Schizosaccharomyces pombe: one gene and its partners. The gene in region 3 interacts genetically with the main gene of each other region. Each region holds a gene or a part of one and is shown on either strand. Other genes may lie near its edges. The genes, in order: zrg17, SPOM_SPCC297.05 and mug28.

Region 1 (4,024 bases), on a different chromosome or scaffold from region 3:
ACAATAGCGAACGTTCCTATGATTCTGGACTTGGTGAAAGTCTCAATAATATGCATATTGGAAAATCCATTGCAACAGCAGTACCCGTTAATACGAAACGTTCTCCCTATTCTTGCAGTGCACCAGCTATCGTATTTCCTAACAGTATTAAAGGAAACAAGGATCATCTTAAATTTGGCCGCAGTTGGTGTGATATGGATGAAGAAGATGAGGAAGACATTGTTAGCTTCGGCTCTAACGATGACTTTGGTGCTTCTGACGAACTTTCGTCTAAGCACATTGGACTTGCTGACGACTGGAATGTTCTATCCCAGTGGAATGATAACTCATAAACGATAACTTGTTTTTTGCGCTTTCTTTCCAAGCTTGGTAAGAGCTACGTTTAAAGTAGTAAATTGCATTACTTGTCCTTTGGAATCTGTATGTTAATTGAGGGTCATATATATGCTTACGTTTTTCTTTTTTTTTTTTACATATGAAAATACCTTCTATATACGCATTCTATTATTAGTTAGACTTGATCCTTTTAGTATGCAACGACCACACATGCCTTATTTATAATAATAAAATTATTCATTTCATATTAAAATCTTGAGTTTGTATTCTCCTTATAATTTGTAATAAGCGGTATAAATTAAAGGAAAGAATGAAAAAGGTGTTGGTAATTCTATAGTAAATATGGATGGCATTTATTAGATTATGAATCCAAACTGTTCGAGACAGCGAAAGTTCCGCAAAGGTGGATAATGTCATATGTTGATAAAATATGCATGCATTAAATGATAATAAAAATATAACGAGTGAGTTACAAACACGGTTGGTTGTAAGATAGGAAAAAACGATTAGGCTCTCTGGATATCTACTGATATTTCCCATTTGGGTTGAACACCAGCACCAAATATGCTTCCTACTGTTTTTTGTATAATCCTTATAATATCTTCACGAACTGCTGCCTGCTCTCGTTCACCTCCTGAAACGGTTAAGCCAATATTAGCAATACAAGTATTATAATGAGGTTGCCAAATGGCAGCATAATTAAGTTGGTCAATTCGTGTATCCTCTTTTATAAGGGAGACGCATTCAAAGACCTTTTCTTTATTAGAGTATGTCAACAAGAGCATTAAGGCAAGCGATTTGGCAATGGAGAACCCATTCACCAGGGCAGTAACAGCAATAGTTAAGGAAAGCAAATGGCTGAGAAATGAACCAACTTGATAACCAAGACTTAACAGCAACACGAGGATGAGTGAAGGTACTAATGTGAGTCCATGGAAAAAGCGAGAATTGAGTTCTCGTATGTGAGCACTAGGGTGATCCAACAATAATGCAAATCCCGATATTATAGCCGAAGCAAACAATGAAATGGTTAAATGAATGTGTACAGTCTCTTCTTCATGATCGCCAGCATGATGGAGATTACCCCAATCTTCTATAGCATGTTCGGCAGGCTCTTTTAGGAGGTTCATGCCGAGGAAGATTAAGAGGATTGAGAAGGAAAAATCAACAAGTAATTCCATTTGTTGCATTCCAAATGGGTAACGTAAACACGTGTGTCGCCAGACGAGGAACGAATCCAATGTTTCACGCCAAACGTTGATAATGATTAAAACACCTTCTACGATTAAAGAGCAAGATAAAGTGAGTAGGATAGTAGCATCCCCCGAGAGTAATACCCCTACGGCGACCAAAAAGAATAGGATTGAGCTTGTCAATTTTAGTTTTTGAGGAAAAGTAAGGATTGCGAATGTTTCTTTAAAAGTAGGAATGGGATAACTGGCAGGTATCTCTAACGGCTGTCGATTCTTGGGTGGTAAGAAATATTGATGCGAAAGCGAATGTTTGTGATGATGGCCTTTTCTGTGGGTAGGGCGAGTATCCACGCTTAACAAGTTGGGATTATTCGCACTCGGTTTTGGTAACTGATCACTAATAGTTACAGAGACATTATTATTTATAGGGTTTTGAATCTGAATAGCAGTCGGGATGTTATGATTTTGAGTCATTTTTCATTCATTTAGATATACTTTCAACAATTCTATAATGGCTTTTTTAAAAACTCACTCACCCATGCGTTTGGTGGAGTGGATGGGTAAGACCAGTTGGTACTAGGCCCAAATTGCAACAGTCTAAGATAAAGATATTGACTGTATCAGTAAATGATTATAAAAAGCCATAGTGTTGTACCATCTTTGAGACATCTACTTTTTAGTGACTAGGAATAAAAAACGCTTAGTAGAAAACGGTTAAAGATGAACAAACTTACCTTTCAGAGCCATCGTGGAACGCCATATATATAGGGTTCAAACATGCGGCTCAAAGTCATCCATACAAGGATATTATGAGTAATTTTTTTAATTCGTTTAATTAAAAATAAAATCATCATTAAGTTATAAAAAAAAGGCCACTCCAAGGGCCTGAATTCTCCTTCTACGACTTTTCCACATGTACTCGATAAGACAATAAATACACTTGGTAAAATAATAAAAATAATTATGTGTAGGTAAATAACATTACGCAGAGGTTCCTAGCTGAGTTCCATCAACTATTTTACCTACTTCTTCCATTTCTCTTCCAAATACCAACTATTGTATTCACAAGTGAGTTCTTATTACCTGAAGGAAGCATCTATACATATTAAAAAAAAGGTTTTCGGTTACAATGTCTGCGTCTGTTAGAGGGAATTCTAAAAATCCTCAATCCACATCTGCGATCACGACTTTGGTGCGTTTAAGATTAGTCTTTCTTTTTTTTTAATGATCTAACCTTGTTTACTTTTAGACTGATAAGTTATTGGAGGATATTGTAAGAAGAAGAATTGTGCTTAGTTAATCATTCTAACAGATTTTTATAGTCTGGCGACTTTGAGACCCTACAAAAGCAATTCTCTGAGAAATGTACGATTCTCTAATTTATAATGAAAGATTTTGCTTTACTAATCATAACTTTTTATGTTAACAGTGGAAACGATGTCAACTCGTTTAGATCAACTTGAAGAATCCATGCGTGAGGCCATGAACAAAAAGTCTTCTGTCTCACCGGTCACATCGACCGAGTGAACAAGATTCACCGCATAAGATTTTCAAAGCTTTCTATTTGAAGTGAGCATACAGCTTGTTTGACGTGGTGGATTGGGGATTGTGCTAGATTTGCTCTATTTTATTAAGAATAACCTCTGTTTGTCTTGCTCTGTCTATTTATTTTCAATTGTATTTCTAAGTCTCGATTGTTTGTCTTTTTCAATTGTTTACATGTTCGTACGAGAAAATTCAAATCATTTATTTTTTGTACATTTATTTTTACCTGTTAGTTCTATTGTACATTTTATATTGTTTCTTGTTTTGATTATCTAGCAAGGCCAAAGCAAGCATATACAACCCACCACAGACAATCAAACTACTTAAAACTAAAGCTACATTACATTTTCTATATCCATCGCATTCAATTTCTTTACTCGTATAAACAAAGAATCTCATTAATAAATTACGAACAATTCGCAGTACTTTCCATCATAAAGAACCAACCTTTAAAGGATGACAACTTTCCCCTCAAAAAGTTGTCGTCCCTTTTTTTCAAATAAGAACCATACAATAAAAACCTTTTTTCATAACGGATTCACGAGATAATGAAGGTTACGTCCAAAAATTTTGATATTGCAAGTATTCCCTTTACTTGTTGGACATACCCAAGGCATGACGAACATTGTTCATCAAGCCATGACCGCTGCTGGTGCTGCTTCTACGTTCCTTGCGGGAACTTTTGCTTTCAGATTTGCCCAAACCGGTGGTACCCTTGTCGCTATCCGAAGAAGCAGAAGAAACATCATCACGTACAGCAGTAGATTTGGCAGCCTTGGGCTTTTTAGTGGTAGTAGTAGCAGCAGCATTTGTGGAAGCTGAAGTAGGCAAGGTGCTGGGAGTAGATTCAACAGCCTTTGTCGTACTAGGAGTTTTAGTGGCACCGCCAACATAAGCAGGAGTGGTGGCAGAGCGGGCTGCTTTGCTTGAAACAGTCTCAGTGGTGGCAG
Region 2 (5,924 bases), on a different chromosome or scaffold from region 3:
ACGAGTTGAGAAAGCTATCCCGAAAATCAGCTTTTAAATCGCAAGCTAAAAGGGAGACAGAATTGTTGGATGAAATTCTTCCAAAAGAACCAGCAGGAAGCAAAGAAGCTATGCAACAGAAAAAGAAGGAAAAACGAGCTGCTTTGAAGCATTATCGCGAAGCATCTGACAATGAAGAAGACTTGAAAGAAACCGACTTATACGGAGACCGGGACTCATTTCAGTCCCGATTGAAGCAAAAAAAACAACGGTCAGAATTCAGGGCTTCAAAACGAGAAATGGAAAGACTTGAGCGCGACCAAGAGCTTCGAAATAAAATTGAGGAAAGAAATAAAAAAGAGTTAGAAACAATTGAAAAGCTACGAGAGTTAGCCAAGGCTAGGTTGCAAGGTTTTTCTAGTTGATCATTTTAGCAATTACGCCGACATTTATAAAACCAAAGAAGTGTGCAACTATTCATTATGATTAGAGCTTTTTAACTATGAGTCAAACATAATGAGTATTTAATTTCTCTCAACTTAAGATGTATATGACTTTATATTAAAAATTCACAAATTTAATCAAAGTATAAAAAATGAAAAGCGTTTTAGAGTTGTTCGATTAAATATTTTAACTATAACCAAAAAGAAGTCTATTGAGCATTAATAATTCGTAAATAGTGCGTCTATAACCTAACCTAGTGTAAAGCATTGTCATTCTTCAACGAAGCTGGTATAGGTGCAACCTCAATTCTTTGGATTTCCAATGACTTGTCTCGTAGAAAAGGGGTGGCCTTTCCAAAAAGCCTTGGTTTACCATGATTGCGTTCACAAAGAAGTAACTGATCAAACAGTGCCACTCGGGGATCATTTAGATCAAGCTCGCATCGATCGCCAATGAATTCTGCAAATGCCTGTGAGCTACAAAGTGATGAAATCCAACTCCCGTGAACTTTGGAAGCTTGCCGAGTAAATTTATTGAAGTCGAATGATCCTATAAGACCACCACTTCCTTTAGAAATACCAAAATTTTCACGAGACATATGAGGTTTGCGTAAATAATTCCGATATGACCCTAAGATTTTTATAAAGAATTTTAAAAATGTCACTAATATCTGCTGACTATTAAAACATGCTGGAACACATGGCATTGATATATGTTTTATGAAATCCAGATTAACACGTAGCCCACAATTATCGCATTGAACATGGACGTCACCCAATGCATATCCTGAGACAGCGCAAATGGAGCCAGCGCTATCCGCGGGAAACATTTTATAGATGCGTCTCAGCTTATGCCCCTCTTTGTACATAATGTGAACTTTTTGTTCTCCTGGCTTAGAACTCACAAGGTTCACAGCAGATCCGGTGTTAATAGAACCAGCTTTATTTTGATTAGATTCAGAAGAACGAAGTTCAGGGACCGAATAAGGTGATGTGAGGGAATTTCTTCTTATCGTCGATTGGAAAGAAGAAGAAGAAAACCGAAACTTTGAAGAAGATGGAGAAGCAGGTCTCGTAAAAGGGGGAGAAGAAAAGTTGCGAGCATGCTCAGGCGCCTGTAAACGCGCATATAAAAGTTTTGAAGCTGATGACTGGCGCGAGTCAGTTTGCTTCGCAAAATAAATACTCGAAGGATTGTCTTGAAGCTTAAGGAAACCGTTTAAGATAGGAGAGAGTACATAAGGCCTTTTGGAAAAATTGGAGCTTCTAAAAGACAAAAGTGCTGGGATAGAAAACTTTTCTCTCAAAGGAAAACATGTAACTGTACTCAACGAAAGGACATTATTTGGATAAGTTTCCATTGTGTACTTTGGAGGGCTATGTGGTACATAAAATTTATCATGAAGTGGCGCCGCAAGCTTCAGATGGGCCTGTAACTTAGATCGCAATGAGCGAGAAAGACGAACAATTTTCCCAAACGTAGATACAGAATTTTTATCAAGGTCACAAACAACAAGCGGAATATTGTCCAGAGGAACGTCGTCCATATGAAAAAAGTACGATAGAGTGCCAATAATGTACGAACAAGGAGCTTCAAAACAAGATATCAAACGCCTGGGTAAAACAGGAATATAAAGCCCTTGCCACGTAAGAGGATAAAGCAAATGTAGTAAAGCTTGTGATGCATATCCCAGCATTCCTAAGTTTTCAGACAAAAATATAACTTTAGCTTCCATTAAAGCAGCCTCAAAAAGAACAAGAATATTAGGGATACTTAATGCACGAAATAACGGATATAAGTCAACATCATTCCAACCTGGGATTTCATTGACTGGACTCCTAAATGCGTAAAGATTTAATGGGCCGACATTAACTTGCAACTGCAGAAGTCCTTTCGGCGGCAAAGGAACATCACAGCAAATGTTTTTTACAAACGATTGAAGGTTTAGTGATTTAAGGGAATTTAAATCTGACGAAGGGATAAAATCGAGATCTTCAGCTTGAATAGAGGAGCATACTATTCGAAGCCAATCCCGACAAAAGGACTGCAAATGTGAATGCTTACTCAATAATCCATAAGCATTGGGTATCCATAAAGTCCTGTTATTTGTCAGTCCATGAACAAATCTAGGTAATTTATAGCGCATAGGACGAAGAAGTTCAGTATAAAGAATAATGTTTTCTTCACAGACATCAATCTTTTCCAAGAGTATAGGATCGATGGAATCACTCCCTTCAAGTTCCTTTTCTTGCATTTTTAATAATAATGAAGAAAGTTTTGATCGCTCCGTTTCTAAACTGGATAAAAGCTTCTCGGCAACCTCACGGTCTTCCACAGTCGTATTATTAGCTCTCCAAACTTCACATTCCTTTTCCAAGTCATTTTGCATAGATTGAGGCATTGCAACCCAAACTACCACGCAAATCCCATACAAGTGGCTGTTATTGTCACTGGTCAAAGCAAAAGAGTGGTAGGTTGATACAGGTCTAACATCCGATTCTTTTATAGTTATGTCGTTAGGAAAAGCAAACATCGGAACATAATTAGGGAAATCACAACGGTCAATAGTCGGTGTCTCATTTTTTATGTCCTTGGAAGAAGGGAATTGATGGAGGAGAGAAGGAGGATAGCGTCTCTCGAATGGATGGGTAGCAGCGAATAAGGGCAGGGCATCAGGATATGCAACATAAGACTGATACAAATCATTTTGGGTATGCGTAGTACCGATACTAACGCGGTTTTGTAAATGCTCTTTATCGATGACAGAAGGCTCGGAGTATGGCTTTCTGGAATGATACTTTCGAGGTGTTGAAGTATTAGAGGATAAGCTACGACGATGTAAGGACGTAACGGAGGCATGGTCAAATGAATCCTTTTTTTTCTTGGTCGGTGTGTTAGATGTTGAGTGATGATAATCTAAAAACGGCTTCTTTGGACCCACAGAATTGGATCCAGTGGTGTTGTGATGCGCAAAGGTATTTTCTTTATAAAAAGAAGACTCAGAAGTGATTGACACTCTTTTTAATGGCGACTTCCTTGTATTGTTTTGGATGATAGAACTAGAAACAGATATGGCGTCTTCATCAAGTCTATCTGCTCGAAATTGAGAATTGGATACACTCACAAATCCGTTAGAGAGACCTGCGAGAAAGAAATGATCTGCGATACTTTCCATTCCACTCGCAACTTAAAGCATCGTAAATGATCGCAATCGCATATGCAATAATTAAGGAAAAGATAACTTGTTTTGTAGCTTATATTATATTTTTGAAGAATAAACTTACTAAATATGCCACAAATCGATTCCACATAAATCGTGCGAAACTTTTTTCGTAAGGAATTGGGCACTTCAACGCTAACAGTATAACTATTCCTACGCACTTTCCAACCTGTTCAAATGCCAATTTAACTACAGATCGCCAATACCTCAAAAAGCATCCTCCATACACTAAATGGAAAACGGTAACTTGCGACTGTTTATGCAGCAAAATGTTCGATAGAAAAACATAGCGCACTATAACCTTTTATCTACTAAAGTGAATATAGCAACGTACCATGACCCGAAGTATCACCACAATAGGTTTAAGGAGTCTTATAGCTGCCTTATTTGGGAAAAATAAATTTTTTCCTATTAACTTACTAACTATTTTTGCCATTCGTATATGTGAAATAAGTTCCTTGTTTGGTTTATTTCTATTAGAAATTACTAATTTAATATATGAAAAAAGAAAGACATCAAACGTGAGCCCAAAGAAATCAACTCCCTGGCTCATCTATAAAGACACGAAACATCTAAAATTAAGTAATTCACAAAAGGTGTAAGAAGTGAAGCACACCGATCATTAAGACAGTTGTCAAATTGATTTTGTAATGCGGATTCCTGTTATTCGTAGTCCGCTTGAGGTAAGGTATTGTAGGATAGCTAGAAGATAGAAGAAAGTTAAAAGTCACTTTAAATTAACTTTTTTGTGTTTCGATTCATTTATATTTATTTGTGTGAATTTTGCTATGAGTTGAGTCAGACAGTAGAAAAAGCAAATGTCGAAGATTGTTGTTGTTGTATAATCGAAAGGGTAATGTTACGGATCAACGATTCACAGCATGATTCATAATCATTTATATAAAAGAAAACATTTCACATTCTTTTCTTTTCTTTAGTAAAATCAGTCGACAGACTGAACGATTGTGTCTAATTATAAGTTTACTAACGCTTTAGATTCGTGATACAGAACGAAAAGGCCGAGGAGTATTTGCTCTTGAGCCTATTCCAGCACAAACATGCATTGAGATTAGTCCTGTATTGATGTTCAGCAAAGAAGAATATGAACAACATGGACAGTATACAGTTCTTAACGAATACACATATGTTTGGAGCGAAGGCAAACAAGGATTAGCTCTAGGACTTGGAAGTATGTTCAATCACGACCGTCATCCAAACGTGTATTGGAAAAAAGACAATCGCAATAACTACATCTCATATTACACATTACGAGAGATAAAAACAAATGAGGAACTCTGTATTTCATACGGAGATCATCTGTGGTTCGAAGACGAAGCATCATCTGCTTCACGAATAAGTCCAAACGAGGAAAATGAAGATTTTCCCTTACAAAATATTAGTTTATAAAAATTCTTCATACGTCCAATTTGTAGGCTTTAGAAGATAAAATTTCTCAAATGGTAGCAATATTGCTGTCTGTCTTCTAAATCACACCATACAAAAGTTGCCCCACTTCACCTATATTCAATAGATTTGTATCACAACAGCACATAGAAGAAATTACAAACTAGGTCATAAAAAAATAATAAAATGATATTTATTTCCTATGCCAGGAATAAGAAGAATTCATCAAAAAAACCAGTTTCAACGTCTAATCAGTAAATTTTTTTTGCTCATAGGAAAAAAAATCACGATATACGAGGTAAACAAAAGGCACATTAGATAATAAAACATTTTAAAATAAACGAGTAAAACGAGTGGAATGCGCAAGAATCATCAATAAAGTCACCTTTTTTCCAAAAGACTTGGAACCTAAGCGTCTTATTTAGAAAAAGGAAAAAAAAAGGCTTCTCTTGAGATGGGGCAAACATATAGGACAAATAAAAATCTAAAAGGTCCGAATGACATGATTTGATGAAAACGAATGACAAAGTGTTATTGAACACTAGGTAAAAAGCCAAGAATAAGAAATGAGTAATTAAAAGACACATGCAACCTACATTGCAAAAAAAAAACAATTGAATAAAATTGGGAAATGTTCATACAGCACTCAATTAGTTGGTGTGAAGGAATGCTCAATGCAGTAGATAGGTGTGTCAGAGCCCCCGGCTAAATGAAGGTTAGGTGATGATACAAAACCAGGAACCACTGGATGAAAATTGGACGGATTAGCATCATAATTCTCATAATTACGAAAAGTAACGACAGGCATTCCACTTTCCTCATGCTTCGCATTTGGAGATTCGAAAGAGGCTACATCATCCGTATCCATCGACGTGCG
Region 3 (4,550 bases):
TACACAAAGGCTAAAAGTGCCGTTGAAACTGGTAGCGTTCCTTGGTCAAAGATTAAAGAAAGTACTTCAGATATCTTTTATGAGTTAACCTCGATGAAATTCGAAAACCCTAATGAAGGCGAGAAGGAAATAGTCGAACACTATGAAACTCTGCACAAGAAGATTGAGGACAAGTTTCACACTCTGACTGAGTAATTATTTTTTGAACAACTAAGTTTTTAATTCTAGTTTTTGCTGGCTATAGACTACTAGCTTGATAATACAGACTTCCAGTAAACATTGCTTTCACGTTATCCAAATATATGTCCTAAGTAATTTTGCACATTAAATCGCGAATCAACCGCTTCTCGAAATAATATATTTACACAAATACAAGCCGTCTTCAACAAACTCTTTTGAAGAAATAAATTCAGTGATATAGTCAGTAGTTGTAAATTATGAGAAAAACAAAATAATGACTAGAAGGGATAGTAATAATAATAATAATAATAAAAACAGTAATAGTAATGACTAATCAGATTTAACTTTTTAAGGAGAAAAAGTATCTTTTTGGATATATCGTTAATAAATAAATAATAATCAGTTGAACAATCAATCATCCCCGTCACGGTCAAAAATATCCCAAAAATCTTGCTGATCCAAGTCTGCATCAGACAAAAAAGGAGACTTCGTTTCAGATGAAGAATCATTGGTGGAAGGCGTAGTTTCCTGGTCGTTTTTTAAAATTTCCTGAGCAGACAGGTCTTCAGCTGGATAATCGTGGTTGGAGGAAGAACCTCCAAACATAAACGGAATATTCAGTCCCAGTGCTGGGCCACCATGAATACGGCTAAAATAATCAAAATCAATAGTGACAGCACTGCCTAGCATAACTGCCCTTTCTTCTAAACTCATATCACGTGCACAAACATCATTAGCGATTCCATGAGCAGCTTGAAGCAATTGATTTTCATTTACAGAACCATTGGCTGCACTCGTAGAGGTAAATCGAAGAACGTAATTACCAGTATCAGTAAAAAATTCACGAGGAAGCCCCATGAAATTCCGTGAAACACTACCTAGGATGCGATCCTGCTCGTTTCGCAACAGAAACTCCCAACTTAGCACTCGCTCATCAATTTTGGCAAACTGTTCAAACATAGAACGCTTCGCAAGGAACAATTCATAGCGACGGCGCCATAAATGCCATTTTTGAAGGACTTCGCCAACTAAAGTAGACGAGAACTTACTGTAATCAATAGAATGAATTTGTAACCGGGAGTTTATCCAAGAAAATGGTCGATTGAGTTGTAACACCAACTGGCCGTTACTGTCCATTACATCTGCCTTAAACGCACGATGTGTGTGGAAAAATTGTCTTGATAAACTTGATAATATGGATGAGGCACCCTGTTCTGCAATGTATCCAAGATGCTGACCTTGTTGGTTAAGAATTACATAGCGGTTAGCCTGTTCATAACCAAGAAAAACATTCATCATTTCAAGTTGCCTCTCTACTATAAGAACATCTTGTGATAATAAAGGGGCCGCTGGAGAATTTAATGGAATAGCTCCAGTACTGCTAATGGCAGCAGGCTCTTGAGAGACTACTTTCGCTGTAGCGTCAATGTATCGTGTAGATTTGCTATGATGATAAAGGCGACATCCAAACCGTTTGAGCCCATAAAGCATAGTTAAATGATTACTGGAGACAAAGGTTTGAATTGGAGTAATGTTAGCCCATAGAATTTCAAGCATAGGTTTGAGAAATTAAAATTAGTTTGTGGTTCACCTATACCACAGAGGGTTGCTGAGACAAATATGTAATAAAGGCTGTGTAGTAAGTTTCACAATTTAAAATAGCACATACTATGCGATTACCTTAAAGCTTTACGAAATATAGGATACTACATTAAATTGCTTATGAACAGCTAACATTGCGGTAATTTCCTGTTTACTTTTGTTTACATTGAGAATTCCGAATTCTATAATTACCAACTAGACACATCACAATGATTGCACTTGAAAAACTTTCAGAAAAGAACAAAAGGAGCACTAAGAAGTGTGAAATTTCCATTTACGTAGGGAATTTACCTTCAACGTGCCAAAGCTCAGATCTTCATGAACTGTTTGAACCTTTCGGTAATCGTATATGAATAAACAATTTTTTCTCTAACTGTTTAAGGTAATTTCTCAAAATTCCACATGCTAAGTAGAAAGAAGAATAAGAGTACTGACTCTAAATCCCCAACTTTATTTGCATTTATCACATTTGAAAACAAATGTAGCGCTGACAACGCAATTGCCTCCTTAAACGGGAGTTCGTTCCAAGGAAATACTTTGTACGTAGATTTTAAAATAATAAACGCTAATAGAGCAACAATTATAGGAAGGTCGAGTATACGCATATCGTGGAGAGATACAAAAATAAGTTGGAAAATGGAGTTGACCAAATTCATCACTCGAATAATGAAAAAGCAAAAATTCGGTTTTCAAAAATAGAAAAGTATACAAAGGAAACACGACCGACAGTATCAGAGGTTCGAGTTAGTACCAAAGACAAAAAGGAATATTCGATGAATACCTCAAATTTAGTTCAATCAAACCCCCCAAAAGTGCACGACAAAGAGAATGCATTTGCAGAAGCAACAGGAACTAGTATACTTAGCTCAAAAGCAGTTCAAACACTCTTAGTTTCAGATTTCACGGAGAATGAGCCAAAGCATCTGTCTATCAGGCCAAATTGCAAAGATAATAATACACCGTCCATTTCTAACACTTTTATTGAGCCATATAAGGAAAATAACACGGAACATTTACACCTAAAATCTGCTTTTGAACCCTGTCAAATGATGCCAGGTATGCTTCTAGAACAGAATCCCCAATTTTTGTACGACAACCCTTCTATTTTTGTGATTGGGATTTTAAACCTTCCGTTGAAAGTATCACCAGTCGAGCTTTACAATGAGTTTAGCAATCATGGTCACATTCTCGGTGTAGCCATCAATCAAAGCATAAATGAAGATATGACTCACTACGCAGAAGTGGCTGTGAGCACCTATGAAAGTTGCATAGAGGTATTAAGCAAGCTATTTTTTGCTATAGCATTACTGACCTTTTAATTTAGATCATTGAAAAATTTCACGCCATTGCGTATGAAGGATCCATTTTACAACTTTTTATAAAACAACCTGTTCAGGGATTTTGCTCTAATTTGTTAAATCACCCAGAAGGAACCATGACAAATTTATTGCCCCCAAATATGGAAATGCCTCAGCCGTTTGAAATTCCAGTGATTGCCAAAACTTCTGCTTTGCCAAATCCATTTATTTCATTCCCTTCTTTCCAAACATCGTATGAAACGACAGTAACGCCAACACCAACCTCAACACCGACAATTGATCCTTGTAATTTATTTGTTAAAAACTTGGATGATAATATAGTAGGAAACACACAACAATTAGAAGAACTGTTTTCGAAATTTGGAAGGATAAAATCTTGCACTTTAGCGTCGTATCCCAGTACAGAAATATCCAAAGGCTATGGTTTCGTATCCTTCAGTCATCCATTTGAAGCTGTGCAAGCAATTAACACGTTAAATGGAGTGTTATTCGGAAAGAAAAGATTATTCGTGAATTATGCAGAAAAGAGAGAAGATCGCAAAAAGCGACTGAGTGCTATATTTAGCCAATCTTACCCTCCAGTTGTTCCATCGCCCTCTCTAACAATTCCAATGGCTACTGAACCACAAATTTTAGAGTATCATCAGGAATGGCCTCAACCTCTAATACAATCTATACAGCAGCACGGGTATAGCGATCCTAGACAAACATTACCAACTCGTTTAGATTCATGTGCCGCTAAGCTACGTGAAGCGGTGATTTCAAACGAAAACCTAAACCCAAGCCATAAATTCGGCATAAAACACTCCACATTCAAAACTTCACTATCGCCTTTAACCAACATTGTATTAAACCAATAAATAAAAGCAAGATATGTCTAAAGGACATAATATCAGTACCTGTCGTTTAAATATTTTAACAGTTCTTTTTTTTAATCTATCTCCCATGAAATTTAGGGACATAGTATTATACAAAGAAGATCGGAAAAAGTTGAAACACAAGGAGTCGTTAACAACGGTTGAAATTTCACATTTTAGCTCTGGAAAAGTATGTTTATTTTATAAAAGAAGAAAAGAAGAAAAAACCCCAAAAAAACAAGAATAATAAAAGATAATTGGACAGCTCTGCGAATATTTTTATTTTCTCAAAATATGAATACGCTCATTCTACATTAAATCACTCAATCTACACAAAAGGAATTAGTATAATAAAATAGTTTATAAAAAGAACATACTTATCTGCTTTTTTGACGATCATATAGCGAAGAACCGAAGGTTCAAGTCTCAGAATCCTCTGTATCTCAGATTGAACTGTGGGGTTACTGTAAAAGGTCATAGACCACCAGTGACCAAAAGAGTAAGATTGATTTAGTTTTTTTATAGGTTTAGCCAGTTCCTTAAGTCCCATGGACTCAACATCAACGACCACACCTTTGTTATCCAGGATTGC

Evidence for each region.
Region 1: mutations in mug28 (region 3) and zrg17 together harm fitness more than expected from each alone (negative genetic interaction), as found in Schizosaccharomyces pombe (one large-scale study listed by BioGRID).
Region 2: mutations in mug28 (region 3) and SPOM_SPCC297.05 together harm fitness more than expected from each alone (negative genetic interaction), as found in Schizosaccharomyces pombe (one large-scale study listed by BioGRID).

The regions. Positions count from the first base shown.
Region 1 is NC_003423.3:1,944,320-1,948,343, forward strand, and holds zrg17 (Golgi zinc importer, CDF family, Zrg17), read right to left. Parts: upstream 2,088-4,024; 5' UTR 2,004-2,087; coding exon 843-2,003; 3' UTR 618-842; downstream 1-617. Other genes in the region: serine/threonine protein kinase Ksp1, read left to right, coding at 1-332; SPOM_SPBC16E9.15 (uncharacterized protein), read left to right, coding at 2,659-2,721, 2,779-2,802, 2,852-2,894, 2,959-3,056. UniProt on the Schizosaccharomyces pombe protein: Probable transporter involved in the regulation of zinc homeostasis.
Region 2 is NC_003421.2:1,880,442-1,886,365, reverse strand, and holds SPOM_SPCC297.05 (diacylglycerol-binding protein), read right to left. Parts: upstream 3,888-5,924; 5' UTR 3,599-3,887; coding exon 677-3,598; 3' UTR 517-676; downstream 1-516. Other genes in the region: SPOM_SPCC297.06C (uncharacterized protein), read left to right, coding at 1-404; histone lysine methyltransferase Set7, read left to right, coding at 4,294-4,326, 4,640-5,050; calcium/calmodulin-dependent (CaMKK) protein kinase Ssp1, read right to left, coding at 5,694-5,924.
Region 3 is NC_003424.3:1,649,021-1,653,570, forward strand, and holds mug28 (RNA-binding protein Mug28, implicated in mRNA processing), read left to right. Parts: upstream 1-1,991; coding exon 1,992-2,121; exon of another isoform or gene 2,122-2,164; coding exon 2,165-2,321; exon of another isoform or gene 2,322-2,368; coding exon 2,369-3,056; exon of another isoform or gene 3,057-3,106; coding exon 3,107-3,961; downstream 3,962-4,550. Other genes in the region: vma1 (V-type ATPase V1 domain-containing subunit A), read left to right, coding at 1-195; pls1 (phospholipid scramblase), read right to left, coding at 592-1,737; mrp17 (mitochondrial 37S ribosomal protein bS6m), read right to left, coding at 4,268-4,286, 4,336-4,550. UniProt on the Schizosaccharomyces pombe protein: Has a role in sporulation.